Yarrowia lipolytica: one gene and its partner. The protein of the gene in region 2 interacts with the protein of the main gene of each other region in a biochemical or structural test. Links are inferred from orthologs where the notes say so. Each region holds a gene or a part of one and is shown on either strand. Other genes may lie near its edges. The genes, in order: YALI1_C00772g and YALI1_F08454g.

The links.
Region 1: the proteins of YALI1_F08454g (region 2) and YALI1_C00772g form a complex in vitro, tested with the Saccharomyces cerevisiae proteins (3 studies listed by BioGRID). The link is inferred for Yarrowia lipolytica from reciprocal best matches to the Saccharomyces cerevisiae genes RAD5 and UBC13.

The regions. Positions count from the first base shown.
Region 1 is NC_090772.1:72,092-80,545, forward strand, and holds YALI1_C00772g (uncharacterized protein), read left to right. Parts: upstream 1-5,196; coding exon 5,197-5,649; downstream 5,650-8,454. Other genes in the region: YALI1_C00739g (uncharacterized protein), read left to right, coding at 1,883-3,820; YALI1_C00766g (uncharacterized protein), read right to left, coding at 4,427-4,597, 4,929-5,048; YALI1_C00784g (uncharacterized protein), read left to right, coding at 6,408-6,917. UniProt on the Saccharomyces cerevisiae protein: Has a role in the DNA error-free postreplication repair (PRR) pathway. The UBC13/MMS2 heterodimer catalyzes the synthesis of non-canonical poly-ubiquitin chains that are linked through 'Lys-63'.
Region 2 is NC_090775.1:839,895-850,927, reverse strand, and holds YALI1_F08454g (uncharacterized protein), read right to left. Parts: upstream 5,518-11,033; coding exon 2,440-5,517; downstream 1-2,439. Other genes in the region: YALI1_F08514g (uncharacterized protein), read left to right, coding at 1-442; YALI1_F08431g (40S ribosomal protein eS1), read left to right, coding at 7,559-7,590, 7,760-8,495. UniProt on the Saccharomyces cerevisiae protein: Probable helicase, member of the UBC2/RAD6 epistasis group. Functions with the DNA repair protein RAD18 in error-free postreplication DNA repair.

The DNA of each region.
Region 1 (8,454 bases), on a different chromosome or scaffold from region 2:
ACGAAACGAGGCAAATGTGTCTCTTGTTCCTCGTTCTGTTTTCCTGATGAGCCGCACTCAGACCCTACAACCTGTAACACGACCGTTTCAACCGTTTCATCGGAAGCTGCACATTTCAACTCATCCGCATGCAGCCTAACATGGTTTTACGAGACGAGAATGCAGTGCTCGACACGCGTCTGCCGCGCTCGCGCGCAGTGAGTTAATTTGCCCTGGACTTGACAGAGTGGGAAGTCGACATCAGCAAAGGGAATGCAATCTCGCCGAAGAGAGATAAAAATAGATGATGCAGGGTGAGTGGAGTACCGTACGTGTAGGAGCACTCACTCAGATGGCGGAGAAGGGGAGATTGATCTGATAACTTTGTGACACCTCTTCAGGGTCTACCTCCTGTCGTTTCCGCTGGCACTAACCAACGTCATGATTCTTTCAGCTGTCAGAAACCAAAAGAAAGTAGCTCGTCTGATCCGTCAGAGTCTGCAAATGACAAACTCATCTAAGCCAATACTGTACCGTATCGCACCGACGAGTATCGTACATTACTGCGCTTTTCCATAGCCCTCCTCTTTACTTGCATCTACTTGTAGTATTTAGCCTACAGTACAGTAGAGTTCAATACAGGAACGTCCTTGTGTGTGAGGTCCTCAGACTTCCATAAATAGACCCACGATCTTTCCACATTCCACCCATCTCACCCAACTACAACGTACTCTGCGTACTCTACAAATAAAATTGCTCTGTACGATGCTAAATTTAGAACCATTTTGACGATTGGCAACTGCAGTAACATCACAACAATGACCCTCGTCGTAGATACCCGTATGTAGTGCTGTCTCAATTCATTCCAACAGAATCAGACGCAGAACTGAAATCGAGACTGTGGAGATTCCAAGAGCAACCAAGAGCCCAATGGTACAGCAGCAATTTAAAGATTCATAATTCTAGCCAAAATTAGTTCCCTTTTGTCTTGGTAGCCCTTTATCTACCCCACAGTCTTATCATAAGCTGCTACTGTAGAACGTGAGTGTTGTTTTATAGGGTGGACCTTTGGTGTCCAGATCAGGAAACCAAGGGTTAGGGTGTAAATCCGCATTTTTCACCATGGATTGGGGCTAATTTACAATTTTTAAAAATTATCAGCGATGTGGCGCAGCGGAAGCGCGCAGGGCTCATAACCCTGATGTCCCCGGATCGAAACCGGGCATCGCTATTTGTTTTTTGGATTACCCAACTTACGCTGTACGTGAGTGTACATACTGCATGTGTTACTGCAGCATGCATCAAATTTTTTTTTTGGCGTCGTCTGTGTGGGCCCCAAAGTTTTCACTTGTAAGCCTCCAGTTACCCGGCACGTAACCTCACCACTATAGAATGGTAGTTAAAACTCAGGAGACTTTGGAAGTGGAGAGAGACGATTTCAGCGTTCAGGATTGAAGGGGACGTTGCCACCAACGAACACTGTCCACTAAAACACCGCTAGAGTGTTGGATCCGCCCATTGGCCATACTGTTACGGCTACATTGGAGTTGTGGCCCATCACGTGCTTTCCCAATACGGCCATAAAGCTTAAAATTGTTACATGAAGATTTTTCCCAAGGCCATTTTTTTCTGCTTTCTGCAGGTGACGTTCTACATATCCCACAACACAACCATCTTCGACAAACGACCACTCGTTGTTGACGACCTCCAAAACCCCAAAAAAAGACAGACAACAATAGATCACCCCCCGCTCGGTATCTATTAGTCTCATAAAATCCAAAAAGCAAAAAAAAATCCAACTTTCTCGCCCCCCGCGCTTTTGTGTCTCTTAACCACAAAGCCACCCTTTTTTTTCTTAGGAAGTATTCGCTTACGTTTCCTAGTTTAATTTCTGTTCTCAACAATGTCTGCTGACGCTTCTCTTGTTGCTGCCGAGAAGGCTCTCGAGAAGATGACCCTCGAGAACAAGGCCGAGGCCTCCCCTGCCACCAAGGAGGAGACCACCACTGAGGCTGCCCCCGCTGAGGGAGAGGCCAAGACTGAGTCCTCCGAGGAGAAGGGCTCCAAGGAGGACCAGGGCGACAACGCCTCCCTCTACGTCGGAGAGCTTGATCCCTCCGTTACCGAGGCCATGCTGTTTGAGATCTTCAACCCCATTGGCCCCGTTACCTCCGTCCGAGTGTGCCGAGACGCCATCACCCGACGATCTCTTGGATACGCCTACGTCAACTTCCACAACCAGGCTGACGGTATCCGAGCTCTTGAGGAGCTCAACTACTCCCCCATCAAGGAGCGACCCTGCCGAATCATGTGGTCTCAGCGAGACCCTGCTCTGCGAAAGACCGGAGCCGGCAACATCTACATCAAGAACCTGGACCCTGCCATTGACAACAAGGCTCTGCACGACACCTTCTCTGCCTTTGGCCAGATTCTGTCCTGCAAGATTGCCACCGATGAGTTTGGCAACTCTCGAGGTTTCGGATTCGTCCACTACGAGTCTGCCGAGTCTGCCGAGTCTGCCATCCAGCACGTCAACGGTATGCTTCTGAACGACAAGAAGGTCTTCGTTGGTCCCCACGTCCCCAAGTCTGATCGAATGCAGTCTTTCGAGGAGCAGAAGAACTCCTTCACCAACGTGTTCATCAAGAACCTTGGTACCGAGATCACCGAGGCTGAGTTTGAGGAGCTCGTCAACAAGTTCGGAGAGACCTCCTCTGTCCACCTCTCCACCAATGACGAGGGCAAGCCCACCGGTTTTGGTTTCGTCGACTACAAGGAGCACGACGTTGCCGTCAAGGCCATCGACGGTCTGTCCGAGACTGAGTTCAAGGGAAACAAGCTCTTCGCCGGCCGAGCCAAGAAGAAGTATGAGCGAGCCGACGAGCTCCGAAAGCAGTACGAGGCCTCTCGACTTGAGAAGCTCAACAAGTACCAGGGCGTCAACCTGTACATCAAGAACCTCGATGACACCATTGACGACGACAAGCTGCGAGCCGAGTTTGCCCCCCACGGAACCATCACCTCTGCTAAGGTCATGGTTGACGAGGCTGGTAAGTCCAAGGGCTTCGGTTTCGTCTGCTACTCCTCTCCCGAGGAGGCCACCAAGGCTGTCACTGAGATGAACCACCGACTTGTTGCCGGCAAGCCTCTGTACGTTGTCCTTGCCCAGCGAAAGGACGTCCGACGATCTCAGCTCCAGCAGCAGATCCAGGCCAAGAACCAGATGCGACTCCAGCAGCAGGCTGCCGCTGGTGGTCTCCCCGGCCAGTACATGGGCAACCCCGGTGTCTTCTACCCCGGCCAGCCCGGCTTCATGCCTCCTGGACGAGGTGGAATGCCTTTTGGTGCTAACCCCCAGATGATGATGCGACCCCCCATGCCTCCCCAGAACCAGTTCCCTCCCCGAGGTGTTCCCGGTGGCCCCAACATGTACGGCGCTCCTCCTCAGGGCTACCAGCAGGGTGGTTTCCCTCCCCAGGGCCCCATGCGAGGCGGCCAGCCTCCCCGATCCGGCCAGCCCGGTCCCCAGGGTCAGTTCCGAGGTGCTCCCCGACGAAAGGACGGTGAGTCCCGAGTTGCCGACTCCATTTCTAACGCTCTTGAGAACGCTCCTGAGGAGCAGCACAAGCAGCTCGTTGGTGAGGCTCTGTACCCCAAGGTTCTCGCTGAGAAGGCCATTGATGGTAACGCCGAGTTTGCCGGTAAGATCACCGGTATGCTGCTCGAGATGCCCATCAAGGAGATTCTCGAGGTCATTGACGACGAGGAGGGTCTCCAGGCTCAGATCAACGACGCCATCACCGCCTACAACGAGTACCTCAACTCTCAGAAGGAGGAGTAATTGTGTAATAAAATGTGTGGATTATGTGATAAGGATAAGCCAAGTAGTGAGCCAAAACCCGAGCAGTACCACTTGCATAGCAGTGAGTATGTACTTGTAGATGAATTATAGAGAGTCATGATTGAGGCCATTGGTAATTGGTTTGTAACTAACGTTGTTGTTGGTCAATTGGAAATATGTTACCACCAATGGATTCACAGTGCGCATGTTGCAATACTAAAGTGGTCTGGGAATTGCGATACAGTTGATTCTGGGAGTGTTCAACGACGACAAAGGTGCTGCGATATAGTGTGCATACGTATGTATAGTATTGTAGTCGCAGCAGTATTCTCAATATCACTAATCTCAACTAAAGATTTCAACGGGGGAAATGGTGCAATTCTCTCAAATCACGAATATATCCCTGTTCGACACCAAGACCAAATCAACATGGGCTTTGGGTGTAGAGTAGATCATGAAAGACGGTGTACATAAGGCAGTCGTCCAATACTGTACTAGTACAATGGCTCATCAAAGGACTATCGAGTCGGAAACTCATATCATAAATTAATATATACATCTGTTGTGAAAGCGGTTGTGGTCATTTCTTCCTGTCGCTCAAGGTGGTCACTTCTTTTCATCGGACTGAACGAGGAACGAAGTAATACTATCTGCCTCTTGCTGCCGGATCTCTTCGGCTCGCTCCTGTATGAGCTGTTTCTTTGATTTAAGAGGAGTGGCATCCACAAACTTGATCGAAAAGCCCTTGGGTTTCTCCTCGGGTTCAATTTTCTCCACCTGGGTTAGTTGATACTGAGAGTGGTAAGCGTAAAGCTAGCATGACGACCAGGATAGGTTTCCAAAGGTCAATCCCACGAGAACAAATGAACTCCATGAGCTGATTCACCAACTTTCGCTGCAACAACTGTCTGTGTTGCCACACTGGGGTCAAGGCTTCGGTCGTCTCCTTACCACTACAATCGGAAAGTAATGTCCAGAAGTTCTGTCTAGCATCCCTTGATTTTCTTGGAGTCTTGATTTTTCTTGGAAGTCCTTGATCTGCCGCAGAAAGTCCTTGGTCATTAGCTCTCGGGCTGCGCCCTCAGCTACCTCCTACTGTCATACTCACCAGAACATAATTCTTGTTCATAAGCCACACTCCCCAGACGGCCCCGAAAGTGAGTCCTATCGACAGAGCAACGAATCTGCTGTTGAAAGTGGCGCCTGTTTTTGGGATCTTGGTGATCATTGTGGTTGTGCGGGATAGTGTCTACTTTTTTTCGCCTCGCCTGTGGCTTGCATTTCATATCGTATAGTAGGGTTAGGGCTGTCTCTCCCAATATCACGGTTATCTCAACCACTGTGCGTACATTGTTAGCATCTTCAATACACCCCCAATGAACGCCCTTCCCAAGAGAATCAGCAAGGAGACCGAGCGGCTCGTCAAGGAGCCCGTGCCGGGAATCTCCGCTGCACCCCACGACGACAACCTGCGGTACTTCGACGTCACTATCGACGGGCCTACCTCTTCCCCCTACGAGGGCGGTACTTTCAAGCTGGAGCTCTTTCTGCCCGAAGACTACCCCATGGTGCCCCCCAAGGTGCGATTTCTGACCAAAATCTACCACCCCAACATTGATCGACTTGGCCGAATCTGTCTGGACGTGCTCAAGTCCAACTGGTCGCCTGCTTTGCAGATCCGAACCATTCTGCTGTCCATCCAGGCGCTGCTTGGAGCTCCCAATCCTGACGACCCGCTCGCCAATGACGTGGCACAAAAGTGGAAGGAGGACGAGAAGACTGCTATTCAGACTGCCCGGGACTGGACCAAGGAGTACGCCAAGGCGTAGAGATTAGAGTAATTTATTGAGCATGCCCCCACCAAACAGAGGTCGTAAAACGGAGGTTGGACATTGTACCCCTTGAAGGTTGCAGGGTTTCTGATGGAGCCGGAGCTGTTAGGCCAAATGGAAGCCGCAGACTGCAAGTTGGAGATGGCCTTGTGTTTTGCTGCTGTAGAAGTGGAAGTTGCCCCTCAAGCCTCAAGCACTTACTGTACTGGTCATTAGCCGATTGACTCTCAGCTTAGTTAAGCGACAGCACGATATTTTTAGTAGGGGTGGCTTCTGTTATAGTGCGATGGTCTCAGATGAGGTCTCATGCAGTAGAGATTGAGTGAACCAAGAAGGTAGATCAGAACTCACAAGCTACTGGGGTTCATTCAAAAGCTATTGTATCGTAAAACAGATAGCTGCAATGGATTCTGCAGGCATGAGTTGGTACATTAATGTTTTCAAATCTTGTAAACATCTCTCTCAGGGCTTACTGCGTTGGGCTCTCATGCTCCCTTCCGCTGTCCCGCCGAATACTGGACATATCGGGCCAGTATAATACACATGTGGGAAGATGTCATATACTTGTAACACTCAGCTACAATGTTGTACAGTACAACGGATGCCACATCTGATATCAGTAATATACTGCTATCGATAGAGGTTCAATTCCATCCCACAGATATCATCCCGCTCAGCTCCATCAGTCTGCACCAAGATGGCCCTCTCGCGTGTGCGAAAGTTGTACCTGAAGATCCCCTACTACCGTCTTGAATATGGTCAGTGGATCTCATGGCAGGAGTACACCAATTCGATTTCGAATCGGAGTCCCTTCTACCACCGTTTGGTCACGCCCAGCCCGCCTGAACGTGCGGAGGAGCCATTACCGAAAGATTTTAGAGCTCTACAGGGAAAAAACACAGCGGGAGTTGAAGGAGTGGAACTTTCACGACCTCGGCCCGACTAATGGCAACAAGGCCCTTGGTCAGACAGAGAATGGTGGCTGTAAAACTGCAGATTCTACTCTTGCCTCACAGGTATACAGAGCTTACCCTTTCAGACTCCAGCGAAAAACAGATATCCGGGCAAGCCTGTATGGCAACAAGGGTTCCAACATCGATGAAGAAGAAGAAACTTGTCTTTTCATTCAGTACAATGATGACACAAGTCAAGAACACTTCTTAGAATCGCTGAACGCACCCTGTAACTCCCTTCTGCTTGTAGCAGACAGTAGGACATTTTCACAAGGCGATGCGGGGATATTTTCGATACCTATCGTGTTCTAAGAGGTGGACAGGCCCTGCTTATTGGCACGAGTCGTCCTCTCCAAACAGCAGACTGTTGTTCCTTCTTGAACATCCAGGTGGTTTGACATGAGTCGGAAGTCAGGGACTCAGAGTTGCCCGCATTGAAGCCCTTCATCCCTGAAGATGACTGGTACCCTCGATACGGTCTATCTTACCATTATGATGATTTTCTTATATATGTGGTAGATGTTCAAACCAGACGAGTTCATGATGTGATGGAGAGAGATAAAGTGGTTCATGTACTTGTAGGTGTTTCAGACGGACAATTGGATATATTGCAATATGGAAATACGCAAGGGAGTATCTCGCGAAGAAGCGCCAGGAGCAGAATGTGACAATGATGGAAAGCCTGATAGAGAATTTATTGGAGTACCCAGACATAGTAGATGCGTGCAAGGGAGAAGCTATAAGGTGGTCTGCTATGCAGCGAGGTCATTGAGTGAAGAGATCTGATTCTTGACGTGGTGGTGGAACCAACAAGATCTTAACGATGCGCTGACTAATTATACAATCATGTGGTCTTGGCTTCAATGCTTGTTCCTAATGGCAATACTGTAAATATCCCACTGTGTTGCTGTATTCAATCAATTACTAATGACTAACTGTTTACTTGCAGAGGTCCATGATGGTGTTGACAACATCAGAGTCGTTCTTCTTAAGACCGTTGATGGCCTTGTTTCGGGAAACGTTGGCCTGCTCCATAACAAGCTTGATGTCGGAGTCCTCAAGGCCGGTGGCATCAGCCTCGGCCTCGTCCTCGGCATCCTCGTCCTTGGACAGAGAAGCAGCCTCGAGGTCAGCGGTGATGGAAGCGGGATCCTTGGAGGCAAGCTCAGCGCCAACCTCACCGGCGGCAGCAGCCTCGGAGACGGAGCCGGTCTCGGCAGCAGCCTGCTGGGCCTGGGCAGCGGCGATCTGGGCAGCTCGGGCGGTGGCCTGCATGTCCTCGTGCTGGGCCTCACCGAAGACAACGTAGGAGTTGCCGGTGGGGGTCTTGTAGACCTCGGGGTTGGCGATCACGAAGATGTGCTGTCGGGTTCGCTTGAGGACAACTCGGGTGATACCCTCAACCTTCTGGAGGTTGAGCTTGGAGATGAGGGCTCGGGCGGCCTTCTCCTCCTTCTTGATGACGATGGTGGAGTTCTCCTCGATCTGGGGGACCTGGTCCTCGGTAATTTCCTCAATCTTGTTCTCGGCAGACACTGTGTTAGCGAACGAATTAGCGAGCTATGGTGTAGCCACGGGAAGCAAGCGATCTGAACAAGCCATGATCTGTCGATATCTCGTCGTTTTCTGCTCAATTGCGGTTTTCTGCGTTGTTTGTACTCACTTTTTAATATGGTGATGTGTATATGTTGTGTCGGGAGTGAAATTTTCACCACAAGCGGAGTGGGGTGTACATTTGAGCATGGTTACCCGGCAAGGGTTAGGGTCTGCGGTGCGTACCTGAATCCTAAATGTGTGGAGTTGCGAGGAAATCAAAGGAGGGATGATGAGAGGAGGAAAAGATGGATAT
Region 2 (11,033 bases):
AGTGCTAGCCAAGAACCAGCCCGATCTCAAGTGGAAGGATGACGGAACCCGAGACGCGGAGATTGCCGACAAGCGAGCCAAGGCCACCGACGAGGACGACGGACACCAGAAGGAGGGCATCAAGGAGCTGCGAGACCAGGATCTCATTGACGACGACAGACTCAAGGGCAAGAAGACCGACGGAGGACCCCCCAGCAAGCCCGAGGGCGAGAAATTCCAGGACGCTCCCCATGGAGTATCCGAGAAGACCTCGGAAACCGTGCCTGCCAAGGAACACTCTCCTGAGGAACACAAGCCCGAGAAGGGTGCACAGGACGTGGAGCCCAAGGCCGAGCGAGATGCTGAGGCCGAGAAGCGACTCGCCAAGGAGAAAAAGCTCGACAAGGAGTCTGACGATTATGTCGAGAAGGAGTCTTGGGCCGATGAGCAGGTTCAGAAGTAGACACGTCGATTGAGAGAAGCTCAATAGGCCCAGAAGTATCAGGAAGTACTTGTAGATTATGACTTGAAACAGATTCAGAATTAGACCGACCTCCCGTGGAGTGGGAGTAGACACTGTAGTATGGTAGGCTATGACTTGTATTTACTTGTAGGTCACTCCTGGTGACTCAATTGAGTGAGTATGGCTGTAGATATGACAATTGAGTGCACATACTGTACTAGCACTAGGAACTGGTACTCGTGACTGTAGTATAGATCATGATAGGGCACTCAATTGACTCTGTAGAAACAAGTCAATTGGCCCACAATGACTCTTCAATTGACATGGTGATAGTGTGGGCATACATGATGATCCGATCCAATGGATACTGGCCGATATGACATGATCCCGCTCCAATGAGGTACTTTTCCACACTCAATGGACAGTAACCTTTAATATCACCTTACCAAGGGCAAAGTTGGTTGGTGCCTTATACTCAAAATTGGGGTTTATCCCGGACGGAGAGATGATCATTACTGTCGCTAGACCAGGGGTCTTTTTTGAGATATTTTCCGACACAACTGTGTATCAATTAATTCGGTCATCGGTGTATCTAGCGGTTGCATTTGTGGGGAGTGCATTGGGCGTGATTTCTGAATCCTGGGCTAGCGGCATCGGTTTAGAGTGCTCTGTTTTTATATCTATATTTTTATAACTACAAGCATATATATTTTTATAACTAACAAGCAATATATATTTTGGAACTACAAGCAATATATATTTTGGAAATACTCCCAAAATACTCCCCAACCTACTTGGTAACTGTAACTAAAAACCCCAACTAACATGGACAAGTATGTACACTGTACATACTGGAACGGTCTTATACAAAAATGTGGAGAATAACAAACATGCGAAGCTATGTGGGACCAACATACAACACCGGACCTGAACCAGGTTTTTTTATGATTTTTTTACTGGAAATAGGGTACGTTGCCAAGTTTGGCACCATGACACTAAACCGTGGTTTAATTAGTAATATTTCGTGTAAGCGTTACATTCATTTCAAAGGTTATTCTTTCAACAGCAAAAGTATATAATTAAAATGAATGATATGAACAGAAAAAAAAAAAATCAGAGATAAATTAGTTACTGCCATGGGGATTTTTATTTCAATTACATAATATATAAAAAATCCGATGTCTTCTCTCAAAATATGCTGAAGACTACCTCCTTTTCAGAAACACCTGAAACGAACCCCCGAACAAGTTCGTATACTTTGTCAAAAGTATTTCTCAACTAAACGACAATACCTTTCCAACAAGAGTTTCTATGGCCTGTTTCATAGCACCTCTGCATTTCATAAGTTGCGACAAAACAGATATGGAGCGAAATGCTCTTGGAGCACGTATTTAGTCCACTCTGTGGACTCGAACTACGTCCTGAACACTCTTCCAGACTGTCGGTGTAGACGACTATGTACATACTGTACATACAGTACACTTATTAACACTGAAAATGCTGAACAAATCTCATCATCGATATTCTACGGACCTGTGATTGTTGTATAATACCACTCAGAAACAAATGGAGTTCTTTTTGTGCATTAGTGGCGTATGTTCTCGATACTCTTCTAGCCAGGTGCACAAGCTCCGGTTATGACCTAAGGTGGGTCTTTCACGACTAGTTTGTGTGAGAAGATTTGTTCATCTGATGTAAAATAGTCCATCAATATGTTTTTATTAGACCACTCCGTCAGGATGTCGGAATTGCTCACTTTATACTGTACATTCAGATACAGTATGTCCAGGGGTTTCCCGACTATTGAGTCACAGACATCAACATGAACAGCCATTGATTGCAACTGAGAACAAAACTTCACGTTTCGATCAATCTATAAATCACATTAGTATGTACATCTCCACATCTCCGGCAACTCGGTACCATTACCATCATCACCGTCACCATCACCGTAACAATCACCATCATCATCACCATTCTGTACGTGGGGTACTCCATTACTCCCCCAACAGAGTCTTAATGTTCTCGATTCTCTGAGCCTTCTGTTCCTGCTCAGACATACCCAACGTACCCGCCAAAACCATCTTCTGTTGCTGGATCTTCAACATCTTCTCCTCGACAGAGTTCTCCACAATGAACCGAGTCACGTGCACGTCTTTCGTCTGTCCCATTCGATGGATTCGGTCAATGGCCTGAGCCTCCTGTGCAAACGTCCACCAGGGGTCCATGATAAAGGCATGGTTGGCAGTGACCAGATTCAGACCCACCCCTCCAGTTTTGAGCGAGATCAGAAGCACCGAGCCCTTGGAAAGTCCGAACGCCTTGAGAACGTCGGTCCTCTGCTGTCTGGACAAGGTACCATCAAATCTGAAAGCCTGGATCTTTTCACGACGCAGTTCAGTCTGGATGATGTCTAGGTAGCTTGTGAACTGCGAAAAGACGACGGATTTGGCGTCTTTAGGGAGCTGCTTGAGCTTGGAAACCAGAGCAACGAGCTTGGAAGAGCGTGGTCTGTCAGATAACTTCTTCAAGCGGATATCCTTGCAATCTTCCCCTGTTCTCTCTACTTCGAATATATCTTTCAGAGCGGCAGGCTGACGACATATACAGCATACCGGCGTCTGCTTCTTGCTCTCCTGGAACCGAACATTGTCAGCCAGACAGTCCACACATCCCATATGTAGACATTTTGAGATGGCCAGCTTGGTCACGTCTTCAGCACAGATGGGACACTCTGGAGGAGCCGATTGGTCCTGTAATTGCGCGATAATCTCAGACGAATACTCGCAGGCGGATGTCTGAGTATCGTCATTATATTGTTGAATCATGCTCTTGAGTTGAGACTCGTTTTCTTCAATCTGAAGCTGCTCGTCGGTGGGCACTTCGGCTTCCGGGCGCAAAATCAACGCTGGATCACAGCACGACTGTCTAAGACGTAAAATCTGGGTCAAAATGTTCAGATAGTTGCGTCCCACAGCCTCAGATGCTTCAGACTTTTGAAGAGACGTCTGAGCTCGTGCAAGAACATAGCTGTAGATGACTCTCTCCTGGTCGGTCAATGCCACCTTCTCAATGTTGATCGTCTTCTTGGGTAACACTACCAGAGGACTTCCATCAGCCTGTTTCATGTTCTTGGTTCGTCTCAACACTATGGGCTCCAAAATGCACTGAACAGTCATTAGAGCAGAGACAATTTTACCCTCCTGGAACGGCAGAGTGATGAAATTGCGCCAGTAGATGAAATCGTTCCATGGAGCTGCTCCCAGGAACTTCAGAATCGAAAAGAGGTCCTCCAGACGGTTGTGAATAGGAGTACCGGTCAGAGCCCACTTGTTGGTAGCCCTCAAAAGACAGCATGCCTTTGCCGAGACGGTATTTCTGTTTTTGATCACGTGTGCCTCATCTAGCACGATTCGGTGGAAATGCTTGGTGAAAATCTTTGGTCTCTCATGCGAACTGGTTTCAGAAATGACGTTGCGATCCAGCCCTCCTCCTAGAGCTTTGATCTGACCATAGTGAGACACCAGGGTGTGATATGACGTGATCAGAATGTTAGGGCTGTACGTTTTGAACAACTCATCCAAATCAATATCGGCTCCCTTTTCATGGTATACATAAGTCGACAGACCAACTCGTTCACATTCTTGTTCCCACTGCCATAGCAACGACATGGGGGCCACCACCAACGTGCATCCCACGTGCCGGTCTCTGTATACCATGGCAAGCGTCGAGATAGTCTTTCCTAGACCCATTTCGTCGGCCAGAATGCCTCCTGAGAAGGACCTTTCTTGTTTAGGGAACTTGAGAGTCAGAGCACCGGATGAAAAGTTCACATAGAACTTTTCGTCACTTCCCGGAAAGTCCACTTTCGTCCATAATGGGTTTATAGGTCCGGAGTCGTCATTGTCAAAATACTCGCTCACCTCCGTCTCCCTTGATATCATCCACGTCAATCCCTGTTTCTGGTATCTTCTCAACTCTAGAGGGAACCCCTCCACCTCTGTTTCTGGCTGTTCCACGTCCTCCTTTTCGATTCGTTTGTAAAGGGCATCCAGCTCGTCGGTGGGAATAGGTTCACTTTCGTCCTCTGAGTTCTGAGAGGGCGGTTGACTGGAGGGCGGCTGGCTTTTGGCCCTCAGCATGTCCTTGACCATATCTGCGTTGGCTTCATTTTCTTTGATAAGATTGAGCTTGCCGAAGAGATCGACAATGGCGATTTGGCGGTTGCGCAGCATCTTCTCCACGTGACTCTCCCGCGAGTTGTCAAACACATACTCCCGTTTCTTGGCCGTCTTGCTGTCAAGCAACGGCATAGCCACGTCCTGGAACGCTTCTTCGGTGAGGTAGCATTTCAGTTCAACGACGAAATTCGAGCCCAGACTCAGATTGTGGTCAGCGTAAACACACGACGCCTCAAAGTCGCACACCCGACTGTCAATCAGAGATGCTATGGAGTAGTCGTGCTCGCCAGAAATGCGCCCCAGAAGTTCTCCAGACACAGTGCGAATGTGCACATGCGAGTTGTCGGTGGGATTCTTCCGGATCGATTTCGAATGGTCGTGGGACTGGCGCTCCACCACGAGTCTGTCTTGGTACTTGACTTTGCCCTTGGAAGACTTAGAAGCCCATGCCGTGACCACTAGTGAACCAATGAAACGACTAGTCGAACAACCACCTCTTGTGTGGACTCTAGAAGGCACCTGTGTGTTTTGGGAGGGCTTTTGTGTCGTCTCAAAGCCGCTGGTGGTCGTTTGAGACACTTCCGCCTCTTCCGCCGTCTCCTCCGATGTCGCTTGTTGCACCTCCTCTGGCAGATCAAAATGGATATTGACTGCCTGTTCGACATTTCCCTTGCTCTTTGCAAGCAACAAACCGAACCGTTGGTCCGAAAGAGGCCCCAGAAACGCCTCGAGATCAGATCGAAAAGTCGATGGAGCAGGCGTGGGTCGAGCCAGAGAGTTGCTGGCAGGCTTGCCAGGCTTGTGTGAGCTTCCGGGGCGAATCAGCGACTTTGTGTCCGGGCCAAAGTCCTCCTCAGAGTCGAAAAACCGGGCTTTTTTTTGCCTGGGTTCCATTTTGAAGTGGTGTGGGATTGGAGACGCGTCAGACGTGTTTTAATTTGGGTGGCGTGCATGGGAGCAAAGTGGGGGTCGGAAAATGGCTGTGAAAAGAGCAGCGGAGCCGATGAGAACAGAAATTTCCAATAGAATGATTGTACTAACTCAAAGGTATATTCTGAGAAGTTTTAGGGGCGAATTTGGACTAAATACAAGGTCTTATAGTGGGTCTGGTTAGCATGGCTTTTGTGATTAGGTTCAGAGGTGCAGGTGTAGTGATGCAAATAAAAATAAATTGTGAAAAAAGATAAATATCTAAATGATAGTATTTTCTGTCGAATTGGTCGTTGATTGATGGTACGCATAAAAACGACCAAAGTACTGGAAAAAATGGCTGACATTATTGCTTGGAGCTACAATGATATAACCAACAGTTTTCAATCACCACATCATGAATATTTAAGACAATCTCGCAGTAGTATCTTCGCATGTGCACTGATTGCCCATCTCATGAAACATATCCAGATAGAGACTCCGATATGAGATTTGTAAAGAAAATCTTTCAATACACAGTCTGTCGAAACCACATATCTAAAAATATTCTACCTTACTTGAATCTCTAACAATCCACGTTCCAGCTACAACAGACAACTCCAGAACGACGATACCAATAGAACTTGTCTTCTACTGTAGAACTTGGAAAACTTGAAACAACAGTTAGTACTAACAGTTGTGAATGACAGATGAGTATATATCTCGCTCCAAAATAACTCTCTCAACTCCGTGAAGCCATGAAGTTTGTACTCTGACCTAGACTACAAGTCAGATACTCCGTAGCAGTAGTGGGAGACGAGTACTTCCAGTCTTTCCCTTTACTATCCACACCAGTACTTCTTTTTCTAACTCGATTACTTCAAGACCAAAAGAAGCTTGAAAAACCTGATTTTTCAACCGGGCAATCTAATGGGATCAGCTTCTTGGACTCTTCATGAAACTTCTCAGTCCAGATATGGAGCTATGCTGGACATAATTGTGGTACGAGTACTTGTACACTGGTGCCAACAGAGACTAGAAGACATCATTGGTAAAGGAAACGGCTCCAAACCACGTGACCCGCCATTCCAGTTGTCTGCAAAACATTTTTCAAGATGTCCTCGTATCTTTAGAAAGAGTTCAAACCACGTGCTTCTTGCAGGGTGCTGCTGGTTCGAGTGAGTCGTAGTATGTACTCGTACTCGTACTCGTATCGCCATGTAGACCGACCATTGTAATCAGAAAGGGTAATATCAGAGCAAAGTCAAGTCACGTAATGGCGAGATACACCACGAAAAACCAACAACAGCAAATCCATCTGAAATCACAAACGGGCAACTCTTTCTCCCTCATCTCTTCCCCACATATGCATCAGAACTATGACGAGATGAGCTGGTATGGTACCGCAGTCGTATTTGTACAAACAAGTAGGCCAATTATGATGGTGATTTACAGCCGTCAGAGTTAATCAAACTGATCAGAAACCCCAATATTTCTTCTCTGGGTCAATTATGACATTGTTCTAATTTTTTAATTTTTTAATTTTTTTTTTAATTTTTAACATGCAACTTTATCTTATTTTTTTATGTCATTTTTACTCCCATTTTATTCCCCATTTACGCCCCAAAATATGTCCCAAAATCCTACCCTATAATACTCTTTTTTCCCCCCACTGTAATTGCACTGGTACCAAATGACCTAAATTCATTCCACCTTATTCCACTCGCTGGGTTGACAGCGTCTCATCAATTTGGCAAGTATGACATCATAATCATGTGACCAACGGGCTGAGAAGTTTGCGTGCCAGAATATCCGCCGGGAGTAGTCCCAACGTCACGCCGGGGTTGGGTCCCATTCGGACATCACGTGATGTGACTGCGTTTTCCCACTGCGTACCGCACCCAAACACTCTTGGGGGTTGGTAACTCCCAAGAAACCCTAATTCGAAAAGCGTGTATGAAAAAACCCTTCATACTTATTTCATCTTTCTTCAACACCGTTCGACATTAAGACGTGATTAAACACCATGGCTCAGGGAAAGAACAAGCGACTCTCTAAGTGAGTATTACAGCGGGCATGACGAGAATCGATTCGATTGGGGTAGATGTCGAGAGATGTGGACATAGGGTAGATGTCGAGTGATGGCGACTGGACAACTCGGACGACGTGGACATTGACTTAAGACCCACTACCAACTTCCAACCTCCAACCTCCAGTACTAACGCAGGGGAAAGAAGGGTATCAAGAAGCGAGTTGTCGACCCCTTCACCAAGAAGGACTGGTACAACATCAAGGCTCCCTCCACCTTTGAGAACCGAGACGTCGGCAAGACCCTCGTGAACCGATCCACCGGTCTGCGACTCGCCAACGACTACCTCAAGGGCCGAGTGCTCGAGGTGTCCCTTGCTGATCTGCAGGGCCAGGAGGACCACTCCTTCAAGAAGGTCAAGCTGCGAGTTGACGAGGTCCAGGGCAAGAACCTGCTCACCAACTTCCACGGCTTTGACTTCACTTCCGACAAGCTGCGATCTCTCGTCCGAAAGTGGCAGACTCTGATTGAGGCTAACGTCACCGTCAAGACCTCCGACGACTACTTCCTCCGACTCTTCGTCATCGGTTTCACCAAGCGACAGGCCAACCAGGTCAAGAAGACCACCTACGCCCAGACCTCTCAGATCAACCAGATCCGAAAGAAGATGACCGACATTGTTGTCCGAGAGGCTTCCAACGTGACTCTTGCTCAGCTCACCGCCAAGCTCATCCCCGAGGTTATTGGCCGAGAGATTGAGAAGGCCACTCAGAACATCTACCCTCTGCAGAACGTCTACATCCGAAAGGTCAAGCTGCTCAAGCAGCCCAAGTTCGACCTCGGAGCTCTGCTCGCTCTTCACGGAGGTGCCACCGACGACAACGGAAAGAAGGTCAACCGGGAGTTCAAGGATGTCGTTCTTGAGTCTGTTTAATGTGTAAAAGCATGTAAAATAAAATATTCATTGTACCGATCAAACAGCCATGAGCGAAGCCATGGCCGGTTACCTTATAAGACTGCTTGATTGTTCCGAGCAGATCTACAAGTACGAGTAGTTCATGAAAAGACATCATATCCTGCACGCAACGAACAGACCAATCACACGAGGACGCTGGTGATAGGGCACAGTCATAATGCCCGCTGTATCATACAAGTACAGTGTACAATAGGTTATTCAATACTGAACACATTAGTAACCGTTAAGTTGGTATCGTAGCTACTCATTAGTGCCATTAGAGCCAGTAAACTTCTAGAGACATATTCATGGACTCCTTATCTTCTAGAACCACTCCCCGCCATTTGTAGCCGAAGGGTATACAACCTATAAGGCACTCTGGTCACGCTATGTCTAAGAAACGGCTCGGTGATTCAAGACATTCCGAATAAAATTCGAATAGAACACTTCTGAAACGTCTTCAAATACTGCTCTGGCGACCCTGGGACTCTGAGAGTCTCCTGTATCGATCGTATATACAGTACTCGTAGCCTTCCTCACAGACACTAAAAGTAGTACCAAAAACACTGGGTTCTCTCAGCGATGGTCGCTGTAAAGTGGAGAGCTATAATAGTGTTGAAAGGAGTCGATATTACTTTTCCTACTCTGAAGAGCATGTTTGGTACCGATAAGATCCCAAAGAAACCCCATATGCATTGCTATCCAAAAGGAAGCTATCTGGGATCGCCCGTGTGTGTGCTGACTCCACAAAACAATTGATCACCGTACTTCATTGCGTTCCAACTACGTTTTGAAAGTCCCCCGATCTACATCTAGCAACTATTGACCGTTTTACCATGTTGTGTTCCTCGTTCGGCGCTTGTTCAACTAACAATCCAACTAAACTTATACACATAGGAAGTTACAAAAACCAAATAAATCCAGAGATATTGTTAAGGAAGGGAATCTATTTGCTTATATTTTCTGGACCAAAACAGACCTCTATTATTTGGTAAAAAAATCAACCTTTGTAGCGTTTCGGGAACACCACTTTTGAATCCCCAGTCACTTTTCTCTTCAACTAGTTTCCGACTATATTGCCCCGAACGAAGTGTAATAGAGTAGCGGCTTTTCCAAACTGCAACCACTTCCCCCTACGACAATCACGTGCTCTTCAAACGAGCTGTAAATACACACAATCCCGTCTCATATTTTACCCTCCGTTTTCAACATCCGACCCTAGTCGATATTAGAGCGCTTTTCGCAGTCGGGCCCATACGGATTTTTGAGTGAGACTTGGGGCGTATGTTTATATATTATGTATGGGGTGATCTTGAGTGGGAATAACGTACCATTCTGAAGCGCTCAGAAGAGTTATGACAAGCAGAAGAACTCCCCGGATGGTATTACCGAGCATTAATATACTCTTTCCACGTCGGAAATAGCGATATTCCGCCCTTTTCTCAACTAACCAGCTTCATCTACCCAAACAAGTCAACTAATAATCAGAAAAGCCAACTAACACGTCGCCACCCAACAAGCTTTTTGGGACACGTTGTGGGTTCGATTCTTCCACTAGATCCTCCAACTCTGGAGTCGATAGACATAAAGCCTGAGTGTGATGAGACGCGCGCGACGGACCTTACTTGTAGCCAGCGGGATGTGAGGGACTCGACCACATCTTCGCCGTCGATATGGTATGTCACATGACCGCGATCGACCTTATCGTGCCTAATCTATGTTCTTGGCAACGTTTTTAGACGTGTCATTTTGACGTTATACTCCTCGTCCATTCCACATCATTTCATTTTCCCACCCGTCCAGCTTGACCTTCGTCTCTGCTCTGTTGTGACGCTGAAAAAGATTTCCCAAAAAACAAAAAAAAAAGCCCCAAAAAGATTTATTCCATTTTTGCTCAGATTTTAACCGAATTAAGAATTTTCAGGGGGCCAAAGATGCACTAACGGGACACAAGAGCTGTACCAAATATAGCAGTCATCAAGACGAACTGGTCCCGCGGTTGGCGTCAGGATAAATTTCATGCGTCGCCGCGCGCAGATATCATGAAATCCTGCATACAGCTCTCGTGCTGAGCAATCTGACGGCAACCAATCGCCGCCCAAACCGTTCATCAGCCGCCAGCAAAGTTGGTTTTTTTTCTTTTCGTTCTTCTGTCCAAGAACCCTTTTCAGCACGGCTGTACGGGTACCAGTTGCGGTCTTCTGGGCGTTGCAGTCGGTTTCGGAGTCGGTTTCGGAGTCGGTTTCGGAGATCGGCCCTTCCAAAAGGAGCAACCTCAGCTACAAGTGCAGGGCCGTAGTTGGTACCATAACTGTAGGTTGCTATTGTCTATAGTGGATCCAGTCATGAGACTACGAGTACAAGTGGGATAGTGCTTTTTTAGCCTGGCAAGGGTCGACCACGTGAGTTACGGTATGGAGGCGTTCGGGCGCTCGCTCTGATCAGGTGGCTCACCACGCCTTTTTCGAATCCCACCGCTCCATTTATTCCTGCTCCATTGTATCGGAACATGTGCGC